Arabidopsis thaliana: one gene and its partners. The protein of the gene in region 3 purifies or fractionates together with the protein of the main gene of each other region. This does not show direct contact. Each region holds a gene or a part of one and is shown on either strand. Other genes may lie near its edges.

Region 1 (8,241 bases), on a different chromosome or scaffold from region 3:
AGTTCATTTCTGATGACATCTTCACTTCTTGCCACACAGAATAATCCGTGATATTATTCAAAACCATCTGCTACAGGCAAGTATACCTGAGATACTTTTCCTGATAACAAAACTTCATTGGAAATCTATGTGATTGTTTTTCAGAGTCTCTCTGTAAGTTCAAATGCTTTCATGTATTGACTAACTGAGTTCATAATACTCTGTAGGTTCTTTGCCTTGTTGCCATGGAGAAACCAATATCTCTTAAACCTGAGCATATCCGGGATGAGAAAGTGAAGGTGAACAAATACTTTTCTTGACCACTTTTTGCCATTCTATCTGGTTTTCGTTGCCTCTTTTATCTGAATTCATATGATTGAGAACCTCACTGTTTGATCTAGTTACATTTTTCTTTAAAAATCTCCTTAGCGAGTTTACATGGATTGGTTGATATTTCCATTTGCATTTTCAGCCAATTAGTCTCTCGTTACTGATTATTTTAGTGAACTTCAGGTGCTTCAATCTGTGGTTCCGATAAGCGATGACGAGGTAGTTCTTGGACAATACGAAGGATATAGGGATGATGATACTGTTCCAAACGACTCAAACACTCCAACATTTGCCACAACAATCCTTCGCATACACAACGAAAGATGGGAAGGTACCATGTCCCACTTCACTCTTCATATTTTCATCTATCAGTTCAGAAACAATCTGGAAATTGACATAAAATATGAAGAAAAAACAGAGGTTTGATGGGTCAACATGATCATAGATAGCATCAATCTTTTGGTTAAAGCATGTGGAACCAAAATCCGACATGTTTGCATGCACATTCTAACGGTCCTGGATATATCTTTCAGGTGTTCCATTTATATTAAAGGCCGGAAAAGCGTTGAATTCAAGGAAGGCAGAAATTCGCATTCAATTCAAGGATGTCCCAGGCGACATATTCAGATGTATTGTCTTGCCCTGACATCGTGTTTTGAATCTTCTTTTAGCTTTTTGAATTTAAATATATGTAAAGACACAATGTATCGCTTTGTCTAAACTCTCTTGCAACAGGTCAAAAGCAAGGAAGGAACGAGTTTGTGATACGCTTGCAACCTTCAGAGGCAATGTACATGAAACTAACTGTAAGTATATGATGAACAAACAAACATAATTTACTAATTACTCTGACCTTGAACCACTACAGTGAACCATAACGCTTTTGGCTATGCTTTTGCTACACAGGTTAAGCAACCAGGTCTAGATATGAATACTGTGCAAAGTGAACTAGACTTGTCGTATGGGCAACGGTATCAAGGTGTCGCTATCCCTGAGGCATACGAGCGCTTAATTCTTGACACGTAAGAAATAAATTTTCTAAATTATATACTACCCCAATAGGCTTTATATATCTAATTGATGCCTTCTGTTCCTTCATGTTATCTTCAACATATTTTCTTTCCATCTCTCTGCAGAATCAAAGGCGATCAACAACATTTCGTTCGTAGAGACGAATTAAAGGTAGAAACATTTTCTAACGCCACCCTTAAACCAAAGCAGTCTCTGAGATCGTTTTTTTGTTACATTACAAATGCTCTAACTATAGACACAATCCAGACACAAACTTTTGCATCATACAATTCAGGAGCTAACATTTGTATCCATTTTGATGATTATTACAGGTTGCGTGGGAGATCTTCACGCCGCTACTCCACAGGATCGACAAAGGAGAAGTAAAGTCAATCCCATACAAACCAGGAAGCCGAGGACCGAAAGAAGCTGATCAGCTACTAGAGAAAGCTGGTTATCTTCAGACTCACGGCTATATCTGGATCCCTCCTACACTATAAAACCCTACATATATATAAATACACAATACATGTATCTACATGTATATGTATAAATTATGCTGAATAGTCCCTCCTCGAGTTTGGTGTTTGTACGTGAAACTTGCTACTTCAGCTGTTCACTTTGACACTTCCTTTGGTCTTGTATTTGCGGCTTTGTAGAAATAAAAATAAAAATCTTACCAATACCATAAATGAATTTAGCTTTTGTTGTGCTCGTTAAATGAATGAAATTGACGATGAGATAGAAAAAATTGCCAAAAAATGTAGAGTTTGTTGATATACACACATAAGTTCAATCTAGAGGTGGTTGAAACACACATTAAGTTCCATCTAGAGTTTGTTGACACAGACACATAAGTTGAGTCTAGGAACCGACGCCGTCTTTACATAGTCATCATTATCATTAGATGACCAAAAAAAAAAAAACTAAAACCGATGGATAAAATGGATCTCGATAGAAAAGGCTATCTTTCATGATTTCTCTTCTTTATTTGCTTTGTTTCTGAACTTGCTCTGTTTATGCAAAAACAATTGAATGTCCATACAGATCGAAATTTGACGTAGACTATCGACAGTTTATGCAAAATAGGTACCATCTAGATAATCCAGATGTGACCATAGTTTATCCGCATAGAACAACACTCCTAGGTACCATCTGTATTTTCTTTTCTCACGCATGTGTAACAAACAAATTACTTACAGTTCAGCCAAAATCATTTATTTGTTGAGAATTAGATAAACATGATGCTGAAAACAAAGATTCTTCAGGTAGAGTAAATTTTGCCGAGATTCAGAACACAATAATGACAACTCAAACAACTAGTTTCTTTTTCTTCTTCAGAGTTCATCAAAACAAAAGAGCATTTCACCTTTTTGATTCAATCAGATTCACAACTTGATCATTAAAATATCGCAAAATGCTCCCAAACAACCTGCACATAACCATAATACAAAGCCTTCAGACAAATCACAAAACGACTTAATTCTATGGATTCAGATGAAGCTTTTACATACCATCATATCTGATCAAGATCAACGGTTCAGGGCAAAGAGCATGCTCTGGCCACCGGGTAAGTAGGCCACATTAGGAGACCTAGCAAGTGTAGACGCAATCTCCCTTGAAGCTTCAATCCTCCTAAGCTCGATAAGTCCCATACCAGCTTTAGCCGTAGCATCAGAAATCAACTGAGCAGCTTCACTTTCACCTTCAGCTCTTATAACCGCAGCTCTCCTCTCTTGATCAGCCTTCATCACAACAAACTTAGACCTCTCTGCCTCTTGCTGAGCCACTTGTTTCTGCTCAACAGCCCTTGAAAACTCCACACCATAGGACAAATGCGTGATAGCTACATCATCAAGCACAATGTTGAAGTCCTTCGCACGGGTGATTAGTGACTCCCGAACAAGTGCTGAGACGTGAGGACGCTCAGTGAGAAGCTGGTCAGCGTTGAACTGTGCAACCACAGCTTTCAAAACCTCATTTCCAATCGAAGGAAGAACCTTCTCGTCATACTCTAGACCCAAAGTTTGGAAGATGTACGGGAGACGCGACACCTTCACAACAATTCACATCACATAAACACACCAAATTAATAACGATTCTACAATACCTAGTCCTCGAAACAAATTTTGAAAATCATAGATCATCAAAACCCTAAACCCTAAATCCAATTCGCAAATGAATCTGAAAAACCTCAATTCAGAGAAATCAAACGAGTCTAGATCAAAAATGAAGAACCGTTATGCGTTATACCTCAGGACGAGAGAGAACACGAAGAGTGAGATTAACCATCTGGAGATCCTTAGTACCAGAGATTGAAGAGAACGTGTGAGGCTTCGTGCGGATATCGAAGATGTGAGGCCTCTGAAGAATCGGGATCAAGAAATGAGTCCCTTCACCCACAGTCTGATCCATCACTCCCCTGAATCGATCGAAGATAACAGCTCTTTCTCCGCCGTCAACGGTGAAAAGCGATGTATTCAGCACCGTCGCCGCCGTTCCAAGACCGAAAGCAGCCTTCGCCAAATTGGAAAGGAACGAAACAGCCGCTTGTTGGCTTCCCATTTTTGCGTGTGGATTATCTTGAATCGAGAGAGAAGAAGAAGGAAGAAGAGATTTGAGACGACGAGAGAGGAAAGAGTTTCTGCTAGGGTTTATGATATGTTTCTGGAACCTACCACGGGAAATGATTTAATGGGCCAAGTAACTTAGCCCAATATTATTATGTGACTATATAAGCCTATTAAGAACTAAATTCAATAATGGGTTTCATGACATTGGGCTGAAAACAGCTTAACGGTTACAGAGTATGTTTAATATCTTTTTGTCTCATAAATTATGTTTCTCTCAATTTTTTTTATTTTTTTTTTACTGAAAGATAGATTATAGATAGAGTTTACAAAGTTAAAGCTGACGATTAACAAGATAATCTCAAAAACTAAGTCGACGGATAACAAAAATCCTCGGAGACTAAAGCCCAAAAGTATGGGAAGCTAACAAACATTACTTTAAATGCATAAGAAAATAGAAACTGAACCATGGAAAATCAAAAACTATAACCAGAATCTAGCACATGAGACATTGCCCACCATCAATCCAAGATAAAGAAAAGCTTGCAGAAATGGCTAAACGACGGGGAAATTCTAATCCACAGCATCAAGATAGCAGCTCTTCTTATAACAAATGAAGACTACCTCACAGTTCAAAAACAGCATCCCAACCAGCAAGAAGAAACCAAATATAAAACAGCAAAATCGAGGCAATGAAAACCAAGATCGGTCAACGCCAATAGTTTATCTCAATTTGTTTAATCAAATAAAAATTGAAGAATATACCTACTTGGACATTTGTATGGTGTTAAGGGCCTACTATAAAAGTATTAGATTAGTACAAGCCAACGGTAGTGAACAAAAATATTCTTCGAGCTACTTGACAAACACGAAGTTGAATAAGGATAACTACTTTTTCGTATAAGAAAAATATTTACATGTGAGCATGATTAATCCTTTTCAAATATAACGGCAGGGGACGTTGTTGTTGAGTTTTTCCAGTATAAAAAGTGTTTTTTTTTCCTTAAAAGAAAAGTTGTGAAACAATGATATCTATTTTTGAAAACTTTTTGTGACTATTTTTTGACCAACAAACAGTATACGCGAATACTTTTCTATTCGGTTAAGTGGGATTTGAAGACAGATGTACACGAGTATTAAAACTGAATCTGAAAGCATGTAAATCTCCAAATATTTTATCCGTAAAATTGTTATGTATCTTCGACCAAAAAAATATAGAGATATTATGTATCACTTAATTAATATGACTCAATTAAGTCGTCTCGAATACTAAGAAAATTATGGAGTTTTACTTGGAAGGTCACACAGTGACCTCACCACGTTATCGAAAATGTCAAATGTTTCGGTGTCGAATCTTATACAGGTTTGAAAATAACCTTTAAAATAGATTTATATTACAGAAAAGTCCTTCAATATTGATTTTCAATTAAAATATTGCAGAGAAATCTTTAATTTCAAAAACTAAACGCCAACTTCAAAGATTGAGCTAAATTCGATTCTTTCAACATTTTGACTCCAACCGGATATATATGTAGTCATCAATATTATCGAAACAGGTAAAAGAAACAACCCAAGTGAAGGAAACATGAATCTTTGATAACCAATTAGAGTGAGAAGTGTATAATTGTAAAATAAACAAACTGAAACTAATATTAATATATATATATATAATTATATATATACTACTACTACTATACTAGGTTATTTTGTCAAATATATATATATGGTACATGACAACAATAATAAGAAACAATTTACACTTTTGTGTTTGCTCATCAAGAAATTTGGAACAAAGTCCAACTAATCTTGGGATAGATCGACCAAAACAAAACGTTCACTTGGTTTTTAATCGGTCAGAAAGAATATGTTTAGGCTAAACATTGAATCGAATTATCATCTGACCACCAATGGTAGATCAATAAAAAGTATTGATGTGTTTTTATCTAGCTAGTGAAAAAATTTTAGAATTGCCATTTACTTAAATATGAGACTCATTACATATAATGCAAATATTCTTTAGTCTAAGCTATAATGGATGCTCATTTGTTGTTTAGTGCACATAATTTTCCTCCACCAATGGCCAGTATTTGTTTACAAACTAGTATAAGATAATGTAAGCTAATTATCACATACATGATGTCACGTTGATACACTAAATTATAAAAATTATAATTTAGTGTCAAAGTGCAGATCGAAACTATAGCTAATTGGTGGTGTTGAAATTATTCATACCTTAGTAATAATTATAAAATCAATTGATTGTAATCTAATAGTTTCGTTGACCATATACAACGAAGATGAAATAGATTGACGAGTAAATAAAAATAAATTTGCAATCTGGTGGAGATAAATTTCATCCTTAACCTACAACACTAGGTGACACGTAACAATTAAACCGAGTCAACTGATTATTTCTTTGAAGAAAACTTCCTCTCGTGTACAGCTTCCGAGATGCTTCACTGGAGGCATTAACTACTTTGATCATTTGATTTTTGTTTGCACAATCACTAAATGCAGATACAAACATGCCCGCGCTGAACTATATTACATAAGCATGTATCTCTCATTCGATGCGGAGATACAGACGGAACACTCGAGTTGCCAATTGCGGTTTAGTCTACACGCTTCTATTGAAATAAACATAACAAGTCTAAGATTATGAGCTTACGACATTGGACAACATCCATATAAAACTCCTGTAAACTGTAATTAGGTTATTTAAACCAGTAATTCATATATATAGGATATTTAGTGAGTTGCTTCTTTGAACAACGTATCTCTTTTTTTATTTTTGTCTACTATATTTTCATAAAGTTTTACATGAGATAGATTCATCTTGCGTTTAATCTATTTATATGGTATTAGTATTTATACGCTAATTTGTTCGTCTATTTTTCTCTTTTTTGGAAAAAATTCGAACTTCATCAGTTGACTCATTAAATAACTTTCCCAACAGAGTTTTACTTTACACGTTTTTTCTTCAATCCCAATAAATTCCACACACAAAAACCTAACTATAAAACAGTTTTGACTTTTAAACATTTCAATAACATTTTCTAATCATTGTTATTATTATCATAAGCCATAACATGTCATCACATAAATGCTCACATGCATAACGACGAGATAAATCGAGAGTAAAAATATTCTTTGTGCATATAGGAGTTGTTCGGAATCGGATAATGATGAATTTAGTTAGAATTAAGGACTCATCATACAAATAACATTCATCACTATACCTTTTTTTTTCTTTTTTTTTTTCATCACTATACCTATTTGCTTGAAATTTTTAACTAATTAATCTTATGATGATACCTTAATTTTTTCAACCATGTTGATGAATCCGTATATAAATATTTTATTTTACACATCTTCTTAGTTTCTATAGTTTTTCTTTTTTGGGGCAACTAGTTTCTATAGTATTTTAATTCAAGAATTAATATGGAAATCGTCGTAAAACATTATTCCAACTAATTAAATAACAATAACAAAATATAAGTCAATGGAAGAAAGCCACTTGACCGAAAAGCAGGAACATGACAAGATAGAAAATGACAAAATAAATAATTTTAAGAAAATAGAGATTGTTAGAACATAGAAGTGAACCATACACTTCATTATCTCTTCTTTTCATTGACTCTATCATTTTCTCAAAAGTCTTCATTTGGTGCATTTCTACGAACTTTCCTAGCTCCTTCACATTTAAACACTAGCAACAATGAATTAAATTTTATGTACAAACTAAAAGCAGAACATTAATAGTGGAAATTGAACAATGACCATATTTTGTTTTCGAAATATTTTTAAAACATTGCCAAGAAGAAATGAGAAACGGAGACATCTGATACTTTTGATATTTAACGAATAATTAATACTCCTATGATGTGCGTAACCAAAAGATCATTTGCTACAAACAAAACTATTATCACAGAGTCATAGATAAAATTATTGACTTTAAAGGTTGCGTAAAACCATCAAATACGCACACAGAGGCATATTTTTGGTTGTCTCACCGAGACAATAGTTTTTTTGTTTTTATTATCATATTTAACTTTTAAAAAACGAAAATATAAATTTGTAGTCTTGTAGAGATCATAAACAATATATAAATGGTTTAGTCAGAAGACTCAATAGTTTGAACAGAAATATAATATTTCCCTGTTTTGAGATTTACATAAGATGACGTTTTGAGAGTGCACAAAATATCAATAATGGACTGTTTGGCTACAAGTTTGCGGCGGTCAACGCTAAACACTGTACTAAACGCTAAACACACTTTCCAGATCGATATTTGTTATCTATTTCTATTTGTACTTGATCCAATTTAGCCAGCCATTTGGTATTCACATAT
Region 2 (6,885 bases), on a different chromosome or scaffold from region 3:
ACCCGATTCGGAGAACAATTACGGAGATTAGAATCGAAATTGGATGCAAAGAGTCAAAATTGATCAAGCCCAGTTTCGATTTCTACAAAAATCAGAGTAATTTACAGAGAAGAATCAAATGATGACGACGAAGAAGAAAGAGAGAGGATTGTGGAGAAAGTGTCATTGGCTACGAGAGAGATATGAGAAAATGATCCTCTGAAACGCGGTTACCGTAACACGAATGTTCTCTCTTGCTTTTGTGATTTGTAAAATTCTAGAAACGTACAAATGCTGAAAGTTTTTTTTTTCTTTCTTTCTTTTCTCTTTGCGTATTATTTATATATCTTTGCTATTCACTGATTTTATAAATTGGAACTTATTGAGTAAGATTCCAAAACTATTAATCATAGAGATTATTGACACTTCATTATGTTTTTAATCATAGACGTGTGGGCAAAATGACAGCACCTTAAATTATTTATTTTGTTACAAAATCCATAATTAATCAACTCATCTTGGTTATTTAATTAAGAGCACATTCATTATAATTTTTCTTTTGCCAGCACTATAAATTTTCTTTGGGCCAAAAACATTTATTAAATTTTGTAAGATGTTAGATTTTTGGTTACCAAAAGCTTAAATTATGTTAAATTTGGGAATTTAAGAGGGAAATCTAGAATAATTGTTTGACCATCCTACCTTGAATTATAATGTTTAATAATTCTATTCAATGTTCAAATGAAGATATAAGAAACTTTCTCCATACAACGATAAAATGAAAATAAAAACCTTGAAAAATTCAAAACTTTGGTCGCTCATGGTGAACTTGACCTTAAAATTAAAAACCAAAGACTTTACAAAGAAATGTAGAAGACACTGCTCGAATTTGTAGAATATTAATTAAATTGTCACTAATGGCCGTATGTTTTCAAAAAAGGTTAACGACACTAATTTGCAATATTTGAATCGGTCGATAAGGCCCATAAGATAATATAGATGGGCCCAAGTTTCTTTCGAGGTGACACTTGTGACTTGTGATCCGATGAATAGCTTGTTTTTTTTTCTTTCTAAGATAACCTAATTTGCATTTTGTTTGTTGATATCTAATCGAAAGCTGCTGGATAATCAGCTCCCATTTTCCCTAGTGAGGAAGTATGTGCCATAGCTACCAAGGGCACTGATCCAGGTTAGATCAACCTTTGAACTTGGACTACTTAATTATCTCTAGGTCTATGCATAAGTTTGATTGGCACAGTGATTGTTTAATTTGATGTCAATGTCGACTTAACAGTAGATGTGTCATGTGTCATGTGTGCGAGTCTCAGACTCGCAAGAACAGTCTCAACTGGAGTATACTAGGGTGATCCAATACTAGGAAACTATATAAAAAAATGAAAATCTTAAAACACACAAATCAATATAACCATTGAACACCATATTTTTGCAACTAATTCAAGCAACAACTTTGCTTGGACCGTTCATTGCAAACAACATATTCCCACCACTTGGCAAATAGACGACATTGGGAGAATTAGAGAGCGTAATCGCAACCTCTCTAGCCGCCTCGACCCTTCTGAGCTTGATCAACCCCATCCCAGCCCCTGCAGTCGCTTTCGATATAACCCGAGCCGCCTCGCTCTCTCCTTCTGCTCTAATCACAGCCGCTCGTCTCTCCTGATCAGCCTTTGCCACTACGAACTTGGACCGCTCAGCTTCTTGCTGTGCCACCTGCTTCCGCTCCACCGCAAGTGAGAACTCTTTACCGTATGAGAGACCAGTGATCGACACGTCATCGAGAACAATGTTGAACTCCTTAGCTCGCTTGATCAACGTTTCGCGTATAAGAGCTGAGACCTGTGGACGTTCTGTTAAGAGCTCGTCAGCGTTGAACTGAGCCACCACCGCTTTAACCACCTCGTCCCGATCGCTGGTAGGACCTTTTCACCATAGTCGAGACCTAAGTTTTGGTATATATACGAGAGGCGCGAAACCTAACACGAACCCACGGAAAACAGTTATATATTATTTTACATATATATCACAAAATCTTATTAGTGAAATTTTTTGGATATTCGCGGGAACTTACATCAGGGCGAAACATAACACGAAGTGTGAGGTTGACCATCTGAAGATCCTTAGTTCCAGAGTCGGTATTGATTTTGTAGGGTTTGGTCCGAATGTCGAAGATATACGGCTTTTGCACCCACGGAATCTTACGATGTGTCCCTTCTCCTACTGGTTCTTCTAGAATCCCTTCGAATCGGTGGAACATAACAGCTCTCTGGCCACCATCAACGGTGAACATTGTTGATCTCACAGCCGCTATGGCAGCTCCTAGACCTAGAGCTACCTTTGTGAACTTTGACCAAGGCATGATTGGCTTTGAATGTCTCCTGTATGGATTTTAGGTTTCTTTTTATGTTGTTTAGGGTTTCTTTTCTTGTCAGATAGGTGAGAAGTAGTTAGAGAACGCAGGAGATGAGGTTTTATAGGAAGTTTTTTTTTTTGCGTGAGGCAGAAGTTAAGGAGAAAGCTTATTATATTGGGCGGGTTCTTATTTAGCGGGTCGGTTTTCTCACGTTCTGTTACTCACTCGGTCAACCATACCTGCCACGTGTTACTTGTATGCATTACTATTGGTGGGCTTTTAGACGGGTCTTTTAATTTTCCGGTCCGTTACTTTTTAATAAGTTTTACCAGTTCCCGCGATGCACTCGCTACCTATCTCTATCTTGCGAGTTAAACCCTCACCCAAAAATCTTCGACAAAACTCGAATCTTGATCTAAATCCGAGAACGAACATTATAGGATTGTGTAGATTTATTTAGTTTTATTTTGTGAATTTGCAGGTATAAGGTTGTTGATATGAACCTTATTCGAATGTTTGGGGATTCCATTTCTAGATCCAAAGATGTAATGCGATTTGTGTGCCAAAGAACATTTGCTACAGCTGCTGGTAAAGCGAAGAAGGTTGGGAGGGGAGATGGAGGTAATGATGCACCAAAAGCATCGAACTTGAGCAAAGAGATCAAATCGAGTATGGTTGTTAGTGCTAATACTCTGAAAGATGGATTGGACCCTAAGATCTTGCCTAATTCAGATCACCCTGATTATTTATGGCATCTGCTTGATAAGCGACCGGCGCTTAGCGAACTTAGAAGGAAGAACGTTGAGACTCTTAGTTTTGATGATCTTAAACGTTTTGTGAAGCTGGATACCAGAGCTAGAATCAAGGAGAACCATTCTATCAAGGCCAAGAACTGAAATGAGATTCAACAATGACTTGTTGTATGTGTCCCTTATAATTCCCCTTGTTTGAGCAATCCCTTCATTTTCCTTATTATCTTTGGGATTATTTGATCTTAAAAGATTTTTCTCTAATTCCATGCTCTTCTCAGTAAATTGGTTAAATTTGTGTATTTTATGCTATTCATTGGCCAAATGGTATATCATTCAGCTTTCCACAACAGACTGCCTAACACCATGTCTCAGCTTGGATGGTATGTTTAGTCCCCAATTCTCTTCCTATCCTCTTCAACACATGAAAAGTTCACAATCCAATGATCGAAGATATGAATCTCTGTGTTTCGTAATTTCTTACACTTCCCCAGCTAACTTTTGATTCTTCCAAGTAAAAGAATATATGGCTTACCAGTTGCTGGTTTCAGGGGACTTGGTGTTGGCCGTAAACAAAGAGAGTTATAAAGCCAAATATAACTCACCAAGAATGGCACACTTCATAAAGAAAACGTTTCTCATCAATATCAAGAATCAAGATGTGAGCAACCAAGTGTAGCAGAGAGACAAGACATATGTGTATGGAAGAAACTCTTAAGAGAAGAACTTCTGAACAATACAGAGTTGAATTAAAAGTGCATTTTGCACATACTGCTTACCCAAAAGCAAATCTATTATTCCAAAACATACATCATTTAGAGGAATTCTAAAAGGTGAGAATAATAATGGTATATATATTATATATAGTACATGAAAAGGAAGATCAAACAATGATCTAGAGAAGAAAGAAGAAACTATCTAATTTTCTTGTCTACTCTGATTTTGTTAGCTTTCCTTTCACTAAACAATTCTATCCAGAGATTCCAAATCCAAAGTATACTAACAGTAATAGCAATTCCAACAACAATTGCCCAAGAAATCCACAACCAATTAGGTATCACACCATGAGCACCACCTCGAGCGTAAAACGCTACCATTTTCCCGAAAAACAAAGGTCCCAACACACCCCTAACGATACTGTAGAAGGCGTAAAACGGAGGAGACAAGAGATCGTACACTTTCACAGCTAATCGTGATTCCGGATCATTCTTCCTTGCTCCGGCGAGCGTCCACGCGTTCTGACACGCGCTTGTTACTTCAGCTAGAATCAGGAGGCCTAAGATGGCGCAAGCCCCGTGGAAGACGAGGAATCTGCAGGTTAGGAAGACGAATAGAGTGGCTACGTGATGGCCGATGAAGAGTACGTCGTTAGGGTTGAAGACGATGTAGTGGAAGAGATCGGTGAGGAAGTAAGCGACGCTGAAATCGAGGACGGTGTTTTGTGCGGCGGTGTTTGCGGAGGCGAAGGAGCGTTCGGAGGAGGAGAAAACTGCGCGTGTGGCGAGGAAAACCGCTGGAGATCCATGGAAGATTGAGATCAGGCAGCTTGAAGCTTCGGGACGGATTTGTGGTTTCCAATTGCGGAAGACGATGAAGTAAGCGATTAGGTAGATGGTTAAGAACATGGAGAAGAAGATAGGAAGGTCTGGAATTGAGATTTCTCCGATATTGATCGACATTGAGATCGGAATCTCAACCCAAGAGACAATGGAAGAAGAAGAAGAAGAAGAATAATCTACACAGAAGAAACTTAATCCCTTTTTATCGTCTGTCGTCTCGTTGAGTTTTAGCTTAAACGATAGACTGATAGACACATGTATCAAAATATCTATTTAATCATATATTATATTGACCAAAACAACTTTATAATATCATCTCTTTTTATGATGAAGAAGGACACTGAGGTGTGATGGTAAAAATCAAAGTGAAATGGTACAAATACTTTCCCAAGTAGATCAATCACCAGAAGTTGTAGTAAAGCTAAAGACATAAACCACATTTATAGGTAAATGGTCTATGGCTAATAAGTAGTAAGAAGTAAGAAGTAAACTATATTTTTCAAGCCAATTCCGAAACGACAAACACCAAATGCTGAAATGGCGTTTCTTCATTTTATTTACCATCATTTGCTGCCTCTGCAAGCTTGGCGGAAAATCGAAGCTTGTTGATATTCAATTTTAGTTCCTCAACACATAGTGCTTTCCATTCATTGCTCAACTCTCTTCTTTTACCAGTTCCAAGGTTCATCAGCTTCTCAAGCTGCAACTTCTTTTGATAATCACTTAATCCTTGCGACATCATGGTGGTCTCAAACGCATCCCGCACAGCACACAACACATCATCATCATCATCATCACTCTCTTTTCCAGCAGTCCCGTTCTTCTTCGTAGTTATTTTGTCAACAACAACAACAGCTTCATGAGGTGACTTGCCACTTTTCGCAGCCCCTTTGTCAATTAAGGCCACTTCCTCATCCTCCTCAAACACCTCCTCCTGTGATTCAACAAACCATATAATTGAACAATATCCAAATCATTCTTAAACCACAATTCATTAAGCAAGTTTTATTGTAACAGATTTGACGATTGTGTATCAAAAACAAATGACAAACTCTTATTAGTCACTTACTCCACTCTCGCTTTGATGTGCTTTATCCATAACACCATTAGTGTATTCAGCATCAATTTTACGCCAAATCATCATGGAATATCCAAAAGCTTCAGTTTCACTAGACCTAGTAAAATGTGGATCATTTCCTTGATCGATTTTCTCCATTTGATCAAGGAACTTCTTCTTCAACTTCCTGGTCTTACTCATAAGCTGGCACTTGGAAACTTTCACATGAATGGAACCTTTGACGTAACAATAAAACGCATCCCAATCAATTTTGGATTCGAGTCCTGTTTTAGCTCGAAAATCCACCAATCCCTGAGAATTATAGATATGCCGTTTCAGGAATCGCAACGCAATCAAGTAAATGCAGTAGATAGATGAGACAAAGTAGGAAATACCTTTAAGATAGAGAGCTCGTCTTCTTCGTTCCAGATCCGGTTGCTCGGAGGAGAAGCCATTTTTGTGTTGTGCTTCGTCTTCTTCTTTTTCTTCTTCTTCGTTTCTTCTTCTGTTGCTGTTTCGGAAGCAGTACGTTTTGAAGTACGCTTCTGTGGAGGGTTATCGTCAGAGTCGTCACCACCACCACCAGGTGAAGAGAAACCTAGCTCCGTCGGAGTCGCCATTGTCAATTTGCTTACTTTTATACTTCACAATTCTAGCCTGATTGGCTGGCATGCAGAGAAAAGCCTTAATCAGGATATCAATTACACTAAATCGACTAGCGATAACAACTTTTCATGAAATTCAAACTTACGCCAGAAAAAAAAAACAGACTCTTGAGAGAACAAAAATGTGGTTTCCAAGTTTCAGAGCGACTTCTTGAGTGAAGAAGAAGAGATTCCGAGTTTTCTTTTTATTTTTTCAGCGGTGTAAAAAATCCATTTCCATACAAAACGACGTCGTATTTGACATAAGGCTCTTTTTAAGTTATAAATTCTTTACTGATACAATATACTCAATTCGACAAGAAGCACGAAGATAACCCGTACCAACATCACACAACACAACGCAAAGGGAAAAAGACGATGACCCACTTCTCACGACCATTCCAAGCAAAACTTAACTCATGAATGACTACGTTCCCACTCTCAGTACCAATAAAATCCAATCCTCAGTCTGAACGGCCCTCTCTACTTGAAGCTCACAGTATATGTTTTTTTTTGGGATGGATTC
Region 3 (9,483 bases):
GAACACCGGACCTGTCAAGAGAACCTTTTTCCTGCAATGTTTTTCTATATAGTCGCAAAAGTTTCCTTCGATTTCTCTGGCTGTCCTTATCGCAATGACATCAGAGTTCATAAGACTTGTAGTGACTCGTTCCAAGAGGTTTGGTCCGACATCGATTGTATTTGTAGGCTCCAGTTTCTTCATAGTGTAAGCATCTTGTTTACGAAGCAGCACCTTTGATGATGGATATCCCGGTGGAGGAACACCTAACTCACCACCTGGGACAAGCATACTAGCTATAGTCGATGCAGACACCACGACGTACTTTACAGTCTTAAGGCCGAAGTCCCTAGCTACTTCTGGAATCCAATGAGCAAAGTCAAAGAAGATCAGGTCCGGTTCAACGGCTCGGACCACAGCTTCAACTTGATCACGTGTGAGATCCATAGCAGACATCAAGAGATCAGTTGATGTCACAGGGATCTCAGAGGCTGTCTCTGTGCCAACGGGGAGACCATCCACATGAGGGACGGTGACAGAGCGAAAGACAATGTTGTGTGGAAACAGATTGAAATGTTCCAACTGTTTCAGAGATTTCTTGGGAAGCAAGAAAGTGACCGTATGACCTTTCTCAGCCAATTTGTTGGCAAGAAAAAGGAACGGGGTCATATGGCCTGTTGCGAACCATGGATACATAAGTACATGAAACTTCAAACCACCCATTTCTGTATATTTTCTTTTCGTTTTCTTGTTTCTTTGTATCTCTATTATGCTTTGGATACTAGATGGGTCTATATATAGTGCCAGGGTTTGGTGTGAAAATCTAACAAGGCCTACCTAACTCTGGTTGTGTTCTCTCGATAGTTATTAATATATACACCGTTTGGTTGTTGCTGACATGATTCTCATACCAAAACATAACGCTGGTTTTCCCATTTGCTGCTTTGATTGCTTATTTATAGTTGTATTACTGGTCGATTGAGCCTTGCGTAGACACGTCTGATTGGGGTCCGTTAAAATTTTAATTGAGCCTCGATATAGATGCGCACTAGATGTATCCATGGTGGCCTGTAGTATTTGTTTACGACCAATAAAACTTGGGGTGTTCGGTAAAAGTGTACATTGCCTTCTCCGAAATCCAACTAAAACCGTACCGGAAATTTAATATCCTTGCTATAAATGCGTGGTAGTTGGAATCGACATGCAAAAAGAACCAAGATTTTGTAGGCCATGTACTCATTCTTCATTTTATCCTCTGCAACCGTGGGACATAGAGGAGGAACCTCTAGTCTAGATATCGATCTACTTGGTGCCAACTGAATGTCCCAGTTTTAGTGTTGATATTTACACATCATAAGCTATATAAAAAAGAATTGTAATTTTTCGTTAATCATAATTTACTAGAGGCGGGCACAACAGAATGTACATGGGTATTGTACATATTGACAATAGAACAGAGATGAACATACGAATAACAATGTGAGAAACACTTGCACTTGCACATACTCATGATTTTGAGATTTGATGAAATGAAAATCAAAGGATCACGAGAGGGGCCTCATCGGTTTTAGCAGCAGGTGTGGTCTCTTGTGCTGGTGGCTCAGTCTCAGAAGATGTTTTTTCTTCTGCCTTCACAGCTTCTGGAGTTGGCTCAGCCTTGGTTGCCTCAGAGGAGTCCTCTTTTGTCTCACCTTCCTTCTTTGTCTCTTCAATGGACTCTTCCTTCTTCTCCTTTAATCAACAATCAGCAACAATAGTTTTAACTTAATATGAGTTTGTTCAATCAAGAATTTGTAGTAAATTCTGTTTAATTGGTAAATTTCATGTTATTCAATTCAAGAATCTTTAAGATCATCTACTAAATTATTTAGAAAGAATATATTGGACTCACCTGAGTTAATGTGGCATCTGTCTCGGTCGCGGCATTCTTGGACTCAACAACAGCATTTTCGGTCGAGACAGAGCCTTCGACGATGTCAGATTCCTTAGGTTTGCTCGCACAGGCTCCCATGGTTTTTGGATTGAAAGGATTAGTTTGGAAAACAAAACTTACAATGGGAAGAGCTGTGGAGCAAAAAAAGAAAGAAAGAAAAGGAGAACTCCTCTAGACAAAGCTGACTTTGAAGAGGCCAAAACTCTTTAATTTTATAACCGGAGGCTGAGCAAATGGAGGAGAGGGCTGTGAACAGATTCATACAGGAATCGTATGGACTAAAGCTATTTCAGGTAAAGTTTTGGTTAATTTCAGAATCACAAGTCATTACACCTTTGATTCTCTGTGAGGACCTATTTATCCGGAGGACAACTTTTATCTCCACCATTCTTCTATATCCTGTTTAGGGGGCAATGGCTTCTTTTCTGCTGGCAAATTCTGACATCTCATGGATTCACAAGCTCCTCCTGGTTAGATTGCAATACTCTGCAACCGAACCGAATAATAACGGGTACAGGTAATAAGCAATGCAATGGGAATAAAGGTGAATAAGAACACAAGGACCATGTTCATAACAAATCCAGTAGGAAAATTCTTATCGGAGAACAGATGTTCAGATTCGTTTCTATATGCAAAGTGATGATATTCTAGCTATTCAAACGGAAAAGATGGTTACTGCCTCATATTTGAAAGATGAAAAATGGTTTCCAGTTTTCTCAAGCCCAAAGAATTTATCTCATCCCCGGTTCGGCTGCCTACTGCGGATCCTTGTTGCGGTTCTGAAGAGAAAATCGTGGTTCACCGGTGTGACCTGGTTTCTCTGTGTCAAATGATATTGAGCCTGATCGGTTATTAGAGCCTTCTGATATATGTTTCTCACCCATGTCTTCCAACTCTTCCAAATCTGTTTCATCAAGTGCTTGTGTTTCTTGGTGATCTTTGCTTGGACCATTGATGACAAGGCTTTTGTACATTGTTAAAGCTTGAGCAATCATGCTAGCAGGATTTGAAGCACCACTTGGAAGCAACATTATCGTACCCTAAACCCCAAAAAAAAACAAAAAACATGAACATTACATAAGCCCGAGCTATGCCAAGAGACTGGAAGAGATTACAGTAATTGATTTGTTTTTACCTCCTTGGCAATGTTACCGAAGGCTGTAATGTATTGCTCTGCAACTCTCAAACTCGCCGCCTGCAAATTTTACAGTGACACCGTATGAGATCATATTTTGGACAGAAAAAGTTAAGAAACCTAAACACAGCAATAATAGTGATATGACTTAAAATTCCAAAAGTTGGAAAGTTCAAGAAGACACAGAACCCTTTATCCAAAGAGAATAAAGACGTACACATTTAGCAATTTGTGTAAATACTATGAAGAATTAATTAATCAAAGCTAGTTAGTTAAATCAAAACTATGAATACCAATATTCTGCTTGATCTCAATTACTCACCTCTACTCCCCCAGTTTCCTTGAGGGACTGAGATAACAAGACCAGGCCTTTCGCAGTTGCTTGTGCTCTAGCTAGTATTGCTTCTGCCTCACCTGTAGAACATCATCAAGGATAATATAAGAAAAAACCAGTGGGAGATAGCAACCATATTGTGCATTAGCAGTAACGAAAATAGTTCCTCATGCACCAAGCATTCATCAGTGTACAGTGGAAAAATAAGCAAATGAAAACTAACTTTTTCTTCTAGTGAAACTAACTAACAATGGACATAACATGCAACTCTGATGTGTTCTCGATCTTAATGGCTCACTAACCTTGTGCTCGATTCACCTGGTCCATCTTTGCTGCTTCAGATGCCAAGATTACAGAACTTTTCTTACCATCAGCAATGTTGATATGGGATTGCCTTTCTCCTGTCAAATTTAGTAAAGCAATGATTAGAAACATGCTAAGCAGGCCTCTTCTTTTCCAAATGCAAAAAACGAAACTCAAAAGGAATAACAGATAGATTTTAGCCAAGAATAACATTATGAGCCGTAGCAAGCACTGCTCAGTCTCGAAGATGAGTTCTCAAAGACAAGTCAGTCAAGGTTACCTTCAGACTCAAGAATCTGGGCTCTCTTTTTACGCTCAGCTTCAGCTTGCATTTCCATAGCAGCTCGCACTCCATGAGGGGGCATAATATCCCCTGGAAAAACATGAATTAGAAATAGGAAAAAACAGATATGTAACTATCACCGGAAAAGAAAAAACACGAACAACTTACTTATCTCATAACGAAGGCACTGAAGACCCCAGTCTTTTGCAGCAACATTGATGGCTTCCTGCAAGAATATATATACATCTCAAAAATCCATCATATATTTTCTTCTTCAATGGATATACTTCCTCTAACCATCATGTCTCCTTATGATTTGAAAAAGAGACGCAAATAAGTTCGGATATCCAACAAATACAACATGACTAAATCCCCCAGCTGAATCTAAATTCCATATACCCAACTTGTGGTATACAAACACACTGCCAGATGTGACTAATTTTTCCAACTAAACAGCTCAAGCCGCAATGCTCAGTAGGGAGTAACACCAACAGCAATATTCAAGCTAACGTGACTTGACTTTGAAATTGATCAACTTAGCGGATTCTAAATTCTTTGAAATGCACAGGAGCTTAAGTACGGTGAGTCCTAACACTTCAAAACAGAGATAAAGAAGGCTGGAGAACAAACCACTATCTTCTCGTTGAGAGTGTCTCGTTCCTCAAAGGTCTTATCAAGAGTGATCTTACCAAGCTCACTACGCATTGTGGTCTGAGCCAGCTGTACAACAGCATAGATAGGACTCTCAACGCCATAAGAAGCTAACTTAGGATCCACAATCTGCAAAAAAAAATTCCCAGATCAACAAGAAGAAATCAGTAAAGAATCACAAAAGTAAGAACTCAAAACAAAAAAAAAAAAACAAGAGGAAAATGGATTGGTGAAAGAAAAGAAGATGACCTTAACGTAGAGAACACCATCGATGTGGATACTAACGTTGTCTTTAGTAATCGCAGTCTGATTCGGAATCGGGATAGCTTCTTCCTTGAGAGAATGAACATAAGCAATACGATCCACGAACGGAATGAGGAAATGAATCCCCGACGGCAACGTCGTAGCGTATTTACCGAATCGCTCAATCACAAACGCCTTCCTCTCCGGAACTATCCGGATTCCCCAATTCGTCGGCGGCGTCAATTGAAAACTACAACGAACATCCATAAATCAATCCTAAGGTTCTCTACTCTAATCTAAAACCAAATGCTTCAAAAACGAAATCGTAAGGTGAGAAACATAAATGATTCAAAAATCAATCCTAAGGTTCTCTACTCTACTCTAATCTAAAACCAAATCGTCAATTGAAAACTACAACGAACATCCATAAATCAATCCTAAGGTTCTCTACTCTAATCTAAAACCAAATGCTTCAAAAACGAAATCGTAAGGTGAAAAACCTGTTGGAAGGATAGCCGGCGGAAGTGAACTGGCGAACGGTTGAAGCGGCGGCGGAGAAAATCGGAGGTGGAGAGGTAACGGCAGATTGACGGAGGTACGAAACGGACCTCAAGGCGGAGTAACCGACGGAGCTTTTACGAACGAGGTGGTTCATCTTCGTGGGAGAATCAGAAAAATGATATGTGAAGAAGGAAAAACCCCAAAACAAAACCTCTTATAATGCGTAGTCAATATTCAGGTACTGTTTCTTCGCCGGATCACGAAGATTTCACGCAATATGCGTGGAGAGGAGGCAAATATTTTATTGGGCTTTAGTGGATAGTTTGGTACCTGCTGTTATTATTGGGCTTATCTCTAGCCCATTCAGACGCCTGAAATATCCATCTGTTATTAATTTATTATTCATTGTTTTGGTTGTTATTTTAAAGAGTTTTTTTTAGTTGAATCCAAAATTCATTGTGAATCGAGAAATTGCAAGAAAATAATGGCTCCGATTGGTAACCACTTTTGAGGAAAACAATGAATAGGAAAGTCGTGTTCCTTTTTGTTCCTCGGTATTTTTTACCATTTGCAAGGAATTTTTGATCCATTTTCAGACAGGTGGATCCTACATTTTTCCTCATCATTCCTCAAAAAAAAAGAATGATAGAACAAAATTGTTCCTCCCCAAAATTCCTATTGTTCATTTCTTTGGTCACCAATCGGAGCCAATATAAAAAATTTGGGTAATGGTTTCTTTTAGTTTCTAAAAATCATGTAATGATGTGAGTGAATTATAATGAATATTTATATTGTAAGGAATAAAATACATATTTTATTTCAAGAAAATAAACTTATATCATGAAATTTTGATAGTTGTAGATAGTCATTAATTCATTATTATACGACGTTTTGGATATTGAAAAATTTAGACATTACAAAAGCCATGAAGGGGTGTTAAACTTTACTATAATGGAAAAAAGCGGTTTAAAATTCAGAATGCATGGAAAAAACAAGTCTAATGGGTTTCACATGGTGAAGAACTGTGTGTGAGTCATCAAAGATCCGGCGCCGTTCCCTTTTAGATATACCGACGTCAAGAAATAAAATGGCAACAATTAAAAGCTTCGTAATGACGAAGCGCATTTCACCTTTCAAAAGTGTCTTCTCTTTCTTTTGTCTAATCTTTTCTAAGAAAATAATTTCTATCTTTTGCTTAGATTTCAAAAGATTCAATCCAAGTTTTCTTTTGGTGGGATAAAGTAAAAGATGAACATGTAACATGGGATCCAAAGTCTAAAGAAGGTTATATTTTGTGAACTATATCTAACAAAGAGAATAGTGGTGACACACTTTACACTAAATCCAAGTCACTAGATCCTAAAAAGCTTATAACATGACGACTTCAACAACATGCACCTCATCTCTTCTGCATGAAACCCAATCACTGTCGTCAATATATATATGCACACACCTAAGTTCGTGTATCTCTACTATATATAAAGGTAAGTGTGCATAGTTTGAGTTAGAAATTGGAATTCGACCAAAATACATAGTTAAAGTATAATGGGTGATCTTCAAATCGTGCCGGTGTACAACAAGGTGGAAGCACAGTACGTAGAAATGATGGTGCCTTTGTATTCTTACGGTTGCGAGAAGAAAGTCAAGAGGGCTCTTTCTCATCTCAAAGGTACGTAATCAATAGTTTTAATGGTTATGATATCATAGACGACTATGCATAAATAATTAATAAGCTTATTATATTTTCTTTATAACGAATAATCAGGAATATATTCAGTGAAAGTAGACTACTACAATCAGAAGGTGACGGTGTGGGGGATTTGTAACAAACTCGATGTGTTAGCGATGGTGAAAAAGAAGCGAAAAGAAGCTCGGTTTTGGAATGTAGAGGAAGAGGAGAATAATAATCCAGAGAGCGTTGATGATTGCATTGTCGTAAAAGAAGACACTATTATTAAAACTTCATTTGATACCGATAAATCATCGGCGTTTTATACGTATTCTACAACGCCTCCGAGATTCAGTATAAGACCTCCTATGTCACTTATTAGAACCTCTTCATTCACATGGAAAGCCGTGAAGAAGGTCTTCACTAGATCCCTTTCCTTTTGAATCACGTCTATATATGACTCTACTAAGTTTCTAATAAAGCTCCAAGAAATCACGTACGTAACTTTCATTGGATCTCTTAATATATACATAAATACCAAAGTTTCTATATAGTTGATAAGGTTTGCATCTCGCAACGGATTGATGGTACGTAGTTCAATGGTCACCGCATTGTTCGTAAAATCTTTCTTGGGACACATATGTAATTCAGTTGTATGACGCTTATCAACTCTGAAGTTAGTTTATATTCGAATGTCTTTAATTTTAATTATGGTTAGTCTTTAAAACAATCATAAGAGGTTATCAAGAAAAAAAAAGACCGAGTCTTTCGAGAAAAATAAAGTGATAACGCTTTATCTTCCAGTCCACTGTACTGAACTTAGGAGATCATCCACTATTTTCTCGGACAAAGCCCTAGTTCCTCTTTCAGAGACAGAGGTGACAGACACAAAAACTATAATAAGAACTCGCAGCGGAAGATCAACCAAGACCAGATCTGTTCCCTCGCATCCAATTCCCATCGCCGTTGCAGAATCAGCGAATCCAGAATCGGACAATGACTCGGTAGCTACAACAACGGAAGTGAGAACTCAACGTCGTCCTCGTCAGAGCGTGGGGGAGTCTTCTCGTCCCAAGCAGAACACGCTGAACAAGAAGAAGGAAGAGGAAGAGAATGATTCGACTCAAGTGATCGACGAGGAAGAAGAAGAAAACGCAAGGCGAAAGAAGCGTTGTATTCATAATCTCCGCAAGGCTATTCAAAATCTTAAGGAATGTGTCGACATTCTTGAAGGCTTCGTCTTTTAACGATGACTCTCTTTCTCTGCATGTTGCTCTCTATCTCTATCATGTCAGGACTCTTGGTGTTATTACTTCTTTTAGGTTGTTTCTATGTTATGCTTTGTAAGCTTTAACAATGGCTATCTCTTTGTTTGTTATATATAAAAATCAGTCAGTTAGATCAAAGACCTTTCATTGAATTTGGAATGTTCAGTTGCAACAGAGATTGTAGTAAAACATCACATCTACCTCTATTTCTGGCTACTGCTCTTCTTTTTCAGTAAATTTCCAAACTTCCGAAGCAAAGGCTTCTTCTTTTTCTGTTGTTGGTCCTTTGAGACCACATCTTCTGTTTGTTCTGCTAAAGACAAACCATTACTTAACTGATCAAAGTTCTCACTACCTTCTGCTTTCGAGTCGACTTCTTCTTCAGCAAAGTCATGCTCTGTGTCTCTCTCTGAAGAAGCTTCTCTCTTTTCTAAATGATACACTTCGCTTTCCACGGTGTCTTTATCTTTACCTTTCTCTCCTTTTCCTATTACTTGAACGTTGTGAGCTGACCAATGAATTGTTGTGTCATCTTTCAAATGTCTATCAATAGCTTCCAAAGGACTTTCTTGTACTTTTTGTTCTCCGGTACTGTTATCAAAAGGATTGGTATTAGTAATCTCTTCCCCTTTCTCATGTGTGGAAGAAGCTTCTTCTAGCAACTTAGATAACTCTTCGATCTTCTTAAGTGCAGAAGCCTCTCTGGCCTTGAGCTCATAGTTATCGTGAATTACGGTCTGCAATTCTTTGTCAAGTAAACTCTCTTTCATCTTTGACAACTCCTCTATCCTCTTTGCAGCTGAAGCTTCCCGCACCTTAAGCTCCTGATTTTCGTTTCCCTTATCAATCCAACTCTGTTCTAGATGTAACAACTCATCAATCTTCTTCAAAGATGATGCCTCCTTGGCCTTAAGCTCCTCATTTGCCTGAAAAACACCCTCCAACTCGTTCTCTTTATCAAGTAAACTCTGTTTAAGATTTTTCAACTCTTCAATCTTCTGAAATGATGATGCAGCTTGGGCCTTGAGCTTCTCGTTCTCAACAACTGCGGTCTTCAGCTCCTTTTCTTTATCAGCCAAAGTTTGTTTAACATCGGACAGCTCCTCTGTTGTCTTAAGCGATAAAGCCTCTTTGGATTTGAGCTTCTCATTTTCGAAAACAACATCTTGTAACTCACTCTCTTT
Region 4 (7,596 bases), on a different chromosome or scaffold from region 3:
AAAAAAAAAGAGTGAATGAAAATATCTAATTTAGAGACGTAATCATTAATTAGAATTTAAAAAGAAGAAAAAAAACTCATTAATTATTTGTTCTTATTAAATTAGAAGTTATAGTTAGACACGCGCCAAAATCGCAACAGAGTAAAAGCCCTAAAAAAAGTCATCTTCTTTGCAATTGAAACTCTTTCTCTGATTCCTTCTTCTTCTTCTTCCTCTTCCTCTCGAATCCTTTCTCTTTCCTTTTTCCCGCTGATTACGCGATCCCGTTCCTTCTCATTCATTCATTCATTCATTCATTCTCTCGCCGTTTTTTTATATATTTATTTCATTGGATCTGTTTCAGATTTCGATTTCCTTAATTCATTGAGAGATTCGTTAATGGAGGTTAATTACGAAAGGCTTCGAGGTTCTTATAACGATTACAGAAAATTAGAATTGGGTTTAGGCGAATTTGGGGATGATTTTGTGGGTTTGCCTGATGATCCTTTTTGTATGAACATTAGATCGACTTTGAATTCAATCTCAGATTGGTTTCATGAGAATCAGATTGGTTTAGTCTCAGAAGATCATACTTTGCCTGAGGATCCGTTTTGTATGAGAGTTAGATCGACTTTGAACACAATCTCTGATTGGTTTCATGAGAATCAGAAAGAAATTGGTGTTGTTGATCAGATGTTGTTCGAGACTCTAAGTTGGTTTTATAATAATGATGATGATGATGGTGATGATGATGATGATGGTGGTGGTGGTGGTGAAGCTCATGACGCGTTTGAGTTGGTTCTTCCATATCTAGAGTTGAAAGAGATTCTTGCGGTTGAAGTAGTTTGTAGGTCTTTGCGTGATTCGGTTGGAAAGGAACCTTTTTTCTGGACAAGTATTGATCTTAATGACTCATTTCTTCAATATAGAGTTACTGATGAGTCTCTTTTGAAGTTAACACGCCGTGCTCTAGGCGGTGTTCGATGTTTGAATCTTGGAGGATGTGTTGGTATCACTGATTATGGCTTGAAGCAAGTTCTTGCTAGCAATCCACATCTTACTAAGGTTAGTTTGATCGAATGATGGAACCAATCTTGTTATATGATTCTGTGTTGTTTGTTCATGTGTGTCTGTTTTTTTGCAGCTGAGTGTATCTGGTTGTCTTAGACTAAGCACAGCAGGACTAGTGTCAACTTTAAGGGACTTAAAATCTTCAAACCGTCTTGGAGTCAAAAGCCTAATCACTGGTGGGGCGTTGTATTTCACAAAGGAGCAGTTTAAAGAGCTCAACTTATTGCTAGGAGGAGATGCTAAAGTGGGTTTACAAGAGAGGAAGAAGAGATTCTATACGTCTTGTAGATCAGAATTCTATTTAGAGGATGATCGAGTTACTGACCTCGAGATATGCCCCTGGTGTGAGAAACCAAGTCTGGTATTTGATTGTCCAGCAGATACATGTCCATTGAAGGGTCAATATCCTTATTCTAAGTCATCTTGCAGAGCTTGCGTTGTCTGCATAGAACGTTGCCATGAGTGTGGGAGTTGCTTAAATGACTGTGAAAACAAGCCGTTCTGTTTTGCATTCAGCTGTGTGGTATGCATTGAGAAGAGGTCTAACCGCTTATAATAGTTTATTTGAAGTCAAAACCGAAGCTTAACACATTACTTTGATCCTCAATACACTGTTTTCTGAAGAATGAAGAGTCTTGGTGCTTGAGGTATCAAACCTAAGTCAATAAGAAGAGCTGCAACAAAAAATGGAAACATGATAAGACTCAGAAGGGTGTTTAGTCTTCATCTACAGCATCATGAAAGATCTGAGCTAAACTTGATTCTGCAACGGACTCGAGTCAAACTTGATCATGAGAGATGAAGAGAAGCAAAGACTAGAGCTTTACTTGAAAGTTGAAGCACCAGGATTCAAATGGGAAATAAGTAGAACTTACAAGAAAAGAGAAGAGAATAAAGAATATATCAGAGTTATTTTACATTATCATTAATTAGTCTTTTAATCTCCTCCATATGTAGCTTTTGTTAAATGACTTGTATAATTTTCAAAATGGATCAATCTCTTATCAATCCACTCCTGCTTGTACATTCCCTGGAAACATGAGCCCATGATCACAAACTTTCATTGCAAGATCTCCCAACCATCCTCACTAGTCACTTCATCCAAACCTAGTTTACTTAATAATACCTCTCATATTCCAATACTTATTCGCAGTTTGTACATCCAGTGTATAATGCATAATATCATGTAGGTAATTATTACGTTTAAATAACATATTTTTAATAAAGAAACATATCAAAGTTATATGAAAAAAGAGAATTATGATATAAATTAATAATGAATGTTTCTTTTCATTAAACAATTTCATAGGCATTTTTTACGGATTATCTCTCATTTCTTCTTCTATTTTTAGAAATAATAATTCCTGATATATAGCAATATGACACTTAGATTTATTATTCATAAAACACTCTATTAACAAAGAAAAATAAAAACTTATAAAAGGAAAAACAAAATGTCTAAAAGTTTGATTTATAATGATAGATGCTTAATGCAACAAAAAAAAAAGGTGTTATTTGCGGTTAAACTTTTGGTTTATAAATTACAAGATATACAAATATTGAAAAAATGGAACTTCTTATACTCATTTAAAAAAAAAATTAAGGAAATTTGTCAAAATTGTAATTTAGCTGTAAAATAAATCACTACAAGGAGATAAAATCGTAAATAATATTAAATCTTCTACCAAATATATTTTCATTGAAAAAAAACAAAAATATGCATATATAATCAATACGATATAAATACTTGTAATTGATCGAATTATTGTATTAGGAAAAGCAATGAATTGGGAATTGTGTGATGATTATCCAAGCAAAGCACCGCCAGAGACGTGTAATAAGGTAGACGGTGCTAGGAGGTGCCGAACGAGTTGTAACAACGAAGGTTATGGTGGAGCAAATTGTAATTTGAAGGGAAAAGTTAAAGTTTGTGAATGCACTATACTTAGAGTTTGTCTACCCCACCACAAGAGGCCACCGCATGTACCGAAGCCACCAAAGTGACCACATAAAAAAGTTTTATTTAATTTATTTACCATGTTTTAATTTATATTTTAAATAATACAAGTACAACAACCTTGGTGTTGGAAATTGTTTTTGACAATACAAATTTCGACTATTGTTATGGTAGATTTTTTGGTGAAGCCTTTCATTGGAATGATCGGGTTTCGACAACAATGGCATAGTCTTTACTTCTAGAGTCAGAAAAGATAGAACGGCTCAAAACAATTATCTTTTTTCACATCGTGTTCATCAGAAATAAAAGAGCATCAACGTTAATAAACTTCACAGCTCCGTCGTTTTGTCTCCACTGAAGCTCCTCTTCCCACCTGCAAATACAACAAGGCCAAACAAGTAAACCACACCATTCCACAAACCTAAACCATACTCTACTATCAAACCAAACAGTTTATACCAAACCATAACCACTCTTAGTTCAACCAAACCGAATAACCTTAATGCCTTTAAATGGGAATCTTAAGTCCAAATCCATTTTTCATTCATTATTCAAAGAAGTAAAAGAGCATACCAATGTTATAGCTCAACGACCAGGGTTCAGATTAAAGAGCATGCTTTGTCCACCAGGTAAGTAAGCCACGTTCGGAGACCTAGCCAGAGTAGCCGCAACCTCCCTTGAAGCTTCAATCCTCCTAAGCTCAATTAGTCCCATTCCTGCTTTAGCTGTTGCATCTGATATCAACTGAGCAGCTTCACTCTCACCTTCTGCTCTTATAACCGCAGCTCTCCTCTCTTGATCAGCCTTCATCACCACAAACTTTGACCTTTCAGCTTCCTGCTGAGCCACTTGCTTCGCCTCCACTGCCCTCGAGAACTCAGCACCGTACGATAAGTGAGTAATGGCTATGTCGTCGAGCTCAATGTTAAATTCCCTGGCACGCTTGATAAGAGCATCACGAACAAGTGCTGATACTTGAGGACGCTCAGTGAGGAGCTGATCAGCATTGAAATTAGCAACCACAGCTTTCAAGACCTCATTTCCAATCGATGGAAGAACCTTCTCATCGTATTCAAGACCCAATGTTTGGAAAATGTACGGGAGACGCGAAACCTTCACAGTAAAATAACCACAACAACTTATTCAATCCCTCAAACAATCGAAGCCAGCATAGATATGCACCAAAAGCTTCTATAATAAGAGTAACATTCATCGAAGAAACCAAATTACACATAAGGATTATCTTCAACTCTAGATCTTGTACACAAACTTCAAATTCCACGAAATCAAACACAGAATCGATAAATGATTGCTAAATCGAACGAACACGATCATCCTAAACCCTCGATCTTGTAAACAACCAATGTATACAAAATCAAACACAGAATCGAGAAATTGATTGTTGCTAAAATCGAAATTACCTCAGGGCGAAAGAGAACACGAAGGGTGAGATTAACCATCTGAAGATCCTTAGTACCAGATTTGGAGGAGAAAGTGTGAGGTTTCGTACGAATATCGTATATGTGCGGCGTCTGGAGATACGGGATCAAGAAATGAGTCCCTTCGCCGACGGTCTGATCCAACACTCCCCTGAATCGATCGAACAAAACAGCTCTCTCGCCACCATCAACAGTGTAGAGCGACGAGTTTAGTGCCGTCGCCGCCACACCTAACCCAAACGCCGCCTTCGCCAAGTTCGTCAGAAACGAAATCGCTACTTGTTGACTTCCCATTTTCTTTTCTGACCTCACAAGAAAAAAGCTTCGAAGGAGAGAATTGAGAAAGGAAAGATTTAGGGGTTTGTTAGGGTTTATGAAATGATTTTGGAACTTGGAAGAGAGGGTTTTTTTTGGCCGACAATTATTGAATATGGGCTTGTTTAAAGCCCATTAATAATATAAACTACTTCGGCCCAATAATAAAAAAGGAAAAGGAAATGATGTAATATAAAAGGAAACAACGGTTTGGAAGATTAAACCCGAATTTGATTATTTGCCCATAAACGAAACTAAATCCGGAGAGGAAGACAGAGACGAAGAGCGTGTTGATAACAACCCTGCAGAGATTTTGGATCTTCTTAGAGAGCAAGATGAAAATGTTCTTCCTCCACCTCCTCCTTCACCTTGATTAGAGATTTTGATTAGAGTGAATAAGCACAAAAGACTAAAATTGATTTTTCTATACAACCAGTGGAAAATGTTATATACAAGAAATTCTATATAAAGACAATGAGACCTCTGACTTTGGACAGCAAAAGTAGATAAAAAGAAACATCTAAGGCTGCTTCCACAAATTGAACTAAATCGTCGATCTCTTCATCGTGTGTTTTCTTCTTCTTTGCTGCGTGTGGACTCAGATAGATCTTGCACATAGCATAATTGCCCTACTCAAACAAAACAACAGAAGTCGTCACAATAAAAACCAAAACTCAAGAGTCTCAATAACTTGGAAACCAAGTAAGTAAACGTACATATATACTCTTACCAGCTCGTAGTTATTAATATCATCAGAAGACTTAAGCCAGTGTTCATGCATCAACCAACCCTCTTTTACGCCATTTTGGTTGTTTTCCAATGTAGTACTCTAGTGAGTATTTGTAGCCGACAAGGCCTGCTTCTCCAGCATGAATCTTCTTGGCAGAGATGATACTACCCTCCAGTATCCTCCATTGTCTCTACGATTCATTCTTTTTCCACATTTCCCCATCTTGGTCCTCCCAGATATAAAGAACCATTCCGTCTTGTTACCCTTCACAAACTCCTCCGTTTCGAATCAAAAGAAAGACGCCGTTTTACATACAGAAAACACCAGAAGAGGATTAACGATATCGCCTTATATCTTTATTACTTGGATTTCAATTCTGGCTTGGACTAAGCTAAAAACAGAGACTGCTCCCACAATTCTTTGGAAATTAGTAGGAGTTGCTCATGCTACAGCTTACCATGTTTGGAAACAAATGAACAACTTGTTGCACAATAGTGTCTCCGTTTCGCCTTTGGCCACCTTCAAAGAAATCGACGGAGACATCAAAAAACACTATTACCGCTCGCATAAACAGAAAAGCTTTTCGGAATCTGATGATCTTGTAACTCCGATAAATTTTGTTGATGGACTCATTTTATATCTTTTTGGCAAGATTACATTTGTTTGGTTAAGCTATTTTTAAAACCTCAACTTTCATTAATATGATAATCACATTCCTATACTCGTAATACCCTCCCTTAAGATGAAATCTGAATTAAAATCTAAAACTTTGATGAATCGATGAAGATCAGTGGAATATATCAGTTTCTGTCAGATTGAGATCGAGAGAAAAACAAGTGGGAGCTATTTAAAATGACACTTCATTCTTTAATCACCACTCTTTGTTTACTCCTTCGGGTTTTGATGATATTGTAATTTGTAAATATGGGCGAGGTCAGCCTGGCGAGACCTACACCAAGTTAAATTCATCTTTTTAGGAGAAAAAATCCCTCCCAACATGCTTTGAACTCAACACCTCCATCTGGGAGATTTACTATTGGACCAACAGATTGTTGATGTCAAACTCATCCTTCAAGCTACATTTTGTGAGATTTCGAAAGAGTCTAACTCTAGACTTCATGGAGGAACCTCTAACATGTGAAATCTAACAGACCATTCCCCTCCAATTGGTTTGGATTCGTTCAATTATCCATCTCTTAACTAGAATCTTAAAGCATGTTTATCTTGTGGTTGTTTAAATTTTAATCTATCTTACTTCCTCTCTTATTTTGCTCAAGAAAAAATAAATGAAAAAAAGTGTTAATTAAAAAGTTGGTCTGAAATTTGTATAAACTTCTAGAGGGAATGAATTCAAGTCCTAATTTTCAACCACTAGTCTCGTGGACACTAGTCACTCGTACTTTTGTGGAATTTATTATTGTCCGAGGCAATGATCTCGATTTTTGATATTGTACAAGTCACCCCAAGTTTAGTCATCCCAAGTTTTCTATGCTTTAGACTTAGTAATGGGTTGTGACAAACATTCTTATAATTAACTTTCGTCTCAACAACCTAAGACCGACTCACAATAATAATTAAAAGTATTCTATCTTCAATAAAAATAAACCTTACGATCTGTCAATTATTTTGAATATCCAATTTGTCTCGGATTTTCAAATTTATTTTGTAAAAACCGAATACCAAACTATATTAAACGAACACCCTTATAACCAATTTGTGTCTAAATTCAATGATAGTACTGATCATATAGCTCCAAGTCCAGAGATAATGGGATATGATTAATTCAGATTTATTATTTTACGCTAAAATTAGAGAACAAATCTCATTTTATTCTTGACAGAGTCAACCAAAGTTTTTTTGTTTTTTTACTATTAAACAACTCTAATAGCATATAAAAACTTTGATTGACTATATGTTAATTATTTTGAGACTTTATTTTGGAATCTAAGATATAATTTTTTTAAAAATTTGTCCCGGACAATTTTTATATATATGCAACCAAATCCATGAACATAATTTATTCGGAGATATTAATTTACGCTCAAATTAGATAACAAAATCTCGAATATGGAAACTGTAAATATATTTTTACCTAACCTTTTTGG

Evidence for each region.
Region 1: the proteins of AT4G27585 (region 3) and PHB3 fractionate together in Arabidopsis thaliana (co-fractionation; one large-scale study listed by BioGRID). This does not show direct contact.
Region 2: the proteins of AT4G27585 (region 3) and PHB5 fractionate together in Arabidopsis thaliana (co-fractionation; one large-scale study listed by BioGRID). This does not show direct contact.
Region 4: the proteins of AT4G27585 (region 3) and PHB4 fractionate together in Arabidopsis thaliana (co-fractionation; one large-scale study listed by BioGRID). This does not show direct contact.

Annotation. Positions count from the first base shown.
Region 1 is NC_003076.8:16,312,737-16,320,977, forward strand, and holds PHB3 (prohibitin 3), read right to left. Parts: upstream 4,556-8,241; 5' UTR 3,886-4,555; coding exon 3,574-3,885; intron 3,375-3,573; coding exon 2,853-3,374; 3' UTR 2,835-2,852; intron 2,753-2,834; 3' UTR 2,114-2,752; downstream 1-2,113. Other genes in the region: G6PD6 (glucose-6-phosphate dehydrogenase 6), read left to right, coding at 40-76, 207-278, 493-640, 843-938, 1,045-1,115, 1,216-1,331, 1,446-1,491, 1,653-1,820. UniProt on the Arabidopsis thaliana protein: Prohibitin probably acts as a holdase/unfoldase for the stabilization of newly synthesized mitochondrial proteins. Necessary for mitochondrial and cell metabolism and biogenesis.
Region 2 is NC_003076.8:4,608,573-4,615,457, reverse strand, and holds PHB5 (prohibitin 5), read right to left. Parts: upstream 2,357-6,885; coding exon 2,069-2,356; intron 1,897-2,068; coding exon 1,435-1,896; downstream 1-1,434. Other genes in the region: AT5G14290 (Mitochondrial ribosomal protein L37), read left to right, coding at 2,848-3,246; AT5G14285 (DNA-binding storekeeper), read right to left, coding at 4,014-4,778; AT5G14280 (DNA-binding storekeeper-like protein), read right to left, coding at 5,212-5,592, 5,728-6,027, 6,111-6,335.
Region 3 is NC_003075.7:13,764,317-13,773,799, forward strand, and holds AT4G27585 (SPFH/Band 7/PHB domain-containing membrane-associated protein family), read right to left. Parts: upstream 5,646-9,483; 5' UTR 5,517-5,645; coding exon 5,362-5,516; intron 5,112-5,361; coding exon 4,868-5,111; intron 4,748-4,867; coding exon 4,598-4,747; intron 4,194-4,597; coding exon 4,136-4,193; intron 4,058-4,135; coding exon 3,965-4,057; intron 3,783-3,964; coding exon 3,684-3,782; intron 3,462-3,683; coding exon 3,370-3,461; intron 3,108-3,369; coding exon 3,048-3,107; intron 2,953-3,047; coding exon 2,668-2,952; 3' UTR 2,383-2,667; downstream 1-2,382. Other genes in the region: AT4G27570 (UDP-Glycosyltransferase superfamily protein), read right to left, coding at 1-702; AT4G27580 (phosphatidylinositol transfer SFH5-like protein), read right to left, coding at 1,516-1,710, 1,871-1,990; AT4G27590 (Heavy metal transport/detoxification superfamily protein), read left to right, coding at 6,908-7,031, 7,128-7,447, 7,627-7,673, 7,771-8,278; AT4G27595 (WEB family protein (DUF827)), read right to left, coding at 8,503-9,483.
Region 4 is NC_003074.8:10,074,048-10,081,643, reverse strand, and holds PHB4 (prohibitin 4), read right to left. Parts: upstream 4,836-7,596; 5' UTR 4,741-4,835; coding exon 4,429-4,740; intron 4,121-4,428; coding exon 3,593-4,120; 3' UTR 3,581-3,592; exon of another isoform or gene 3,381-3,580; 3' UTR 3,036-3,380; downstream 1-3,035. Other genes in the region: AT3G27290 (RNI-like superfamily protein), read left to right, coding at 379-1,044, 1,124-1,606; AT3G27270 (TRAM, LAG1 and CLN8 (TLC) lipid-sensing domain containing protein), read right to left, coding at 5,938-6,010, 7,584-7,596. UniProt on the Arabidopsis thaliana protein: Prohibitin probably acts as a holdase/unfoldase for the stabilization of newly synthesized mitochondrial proteins.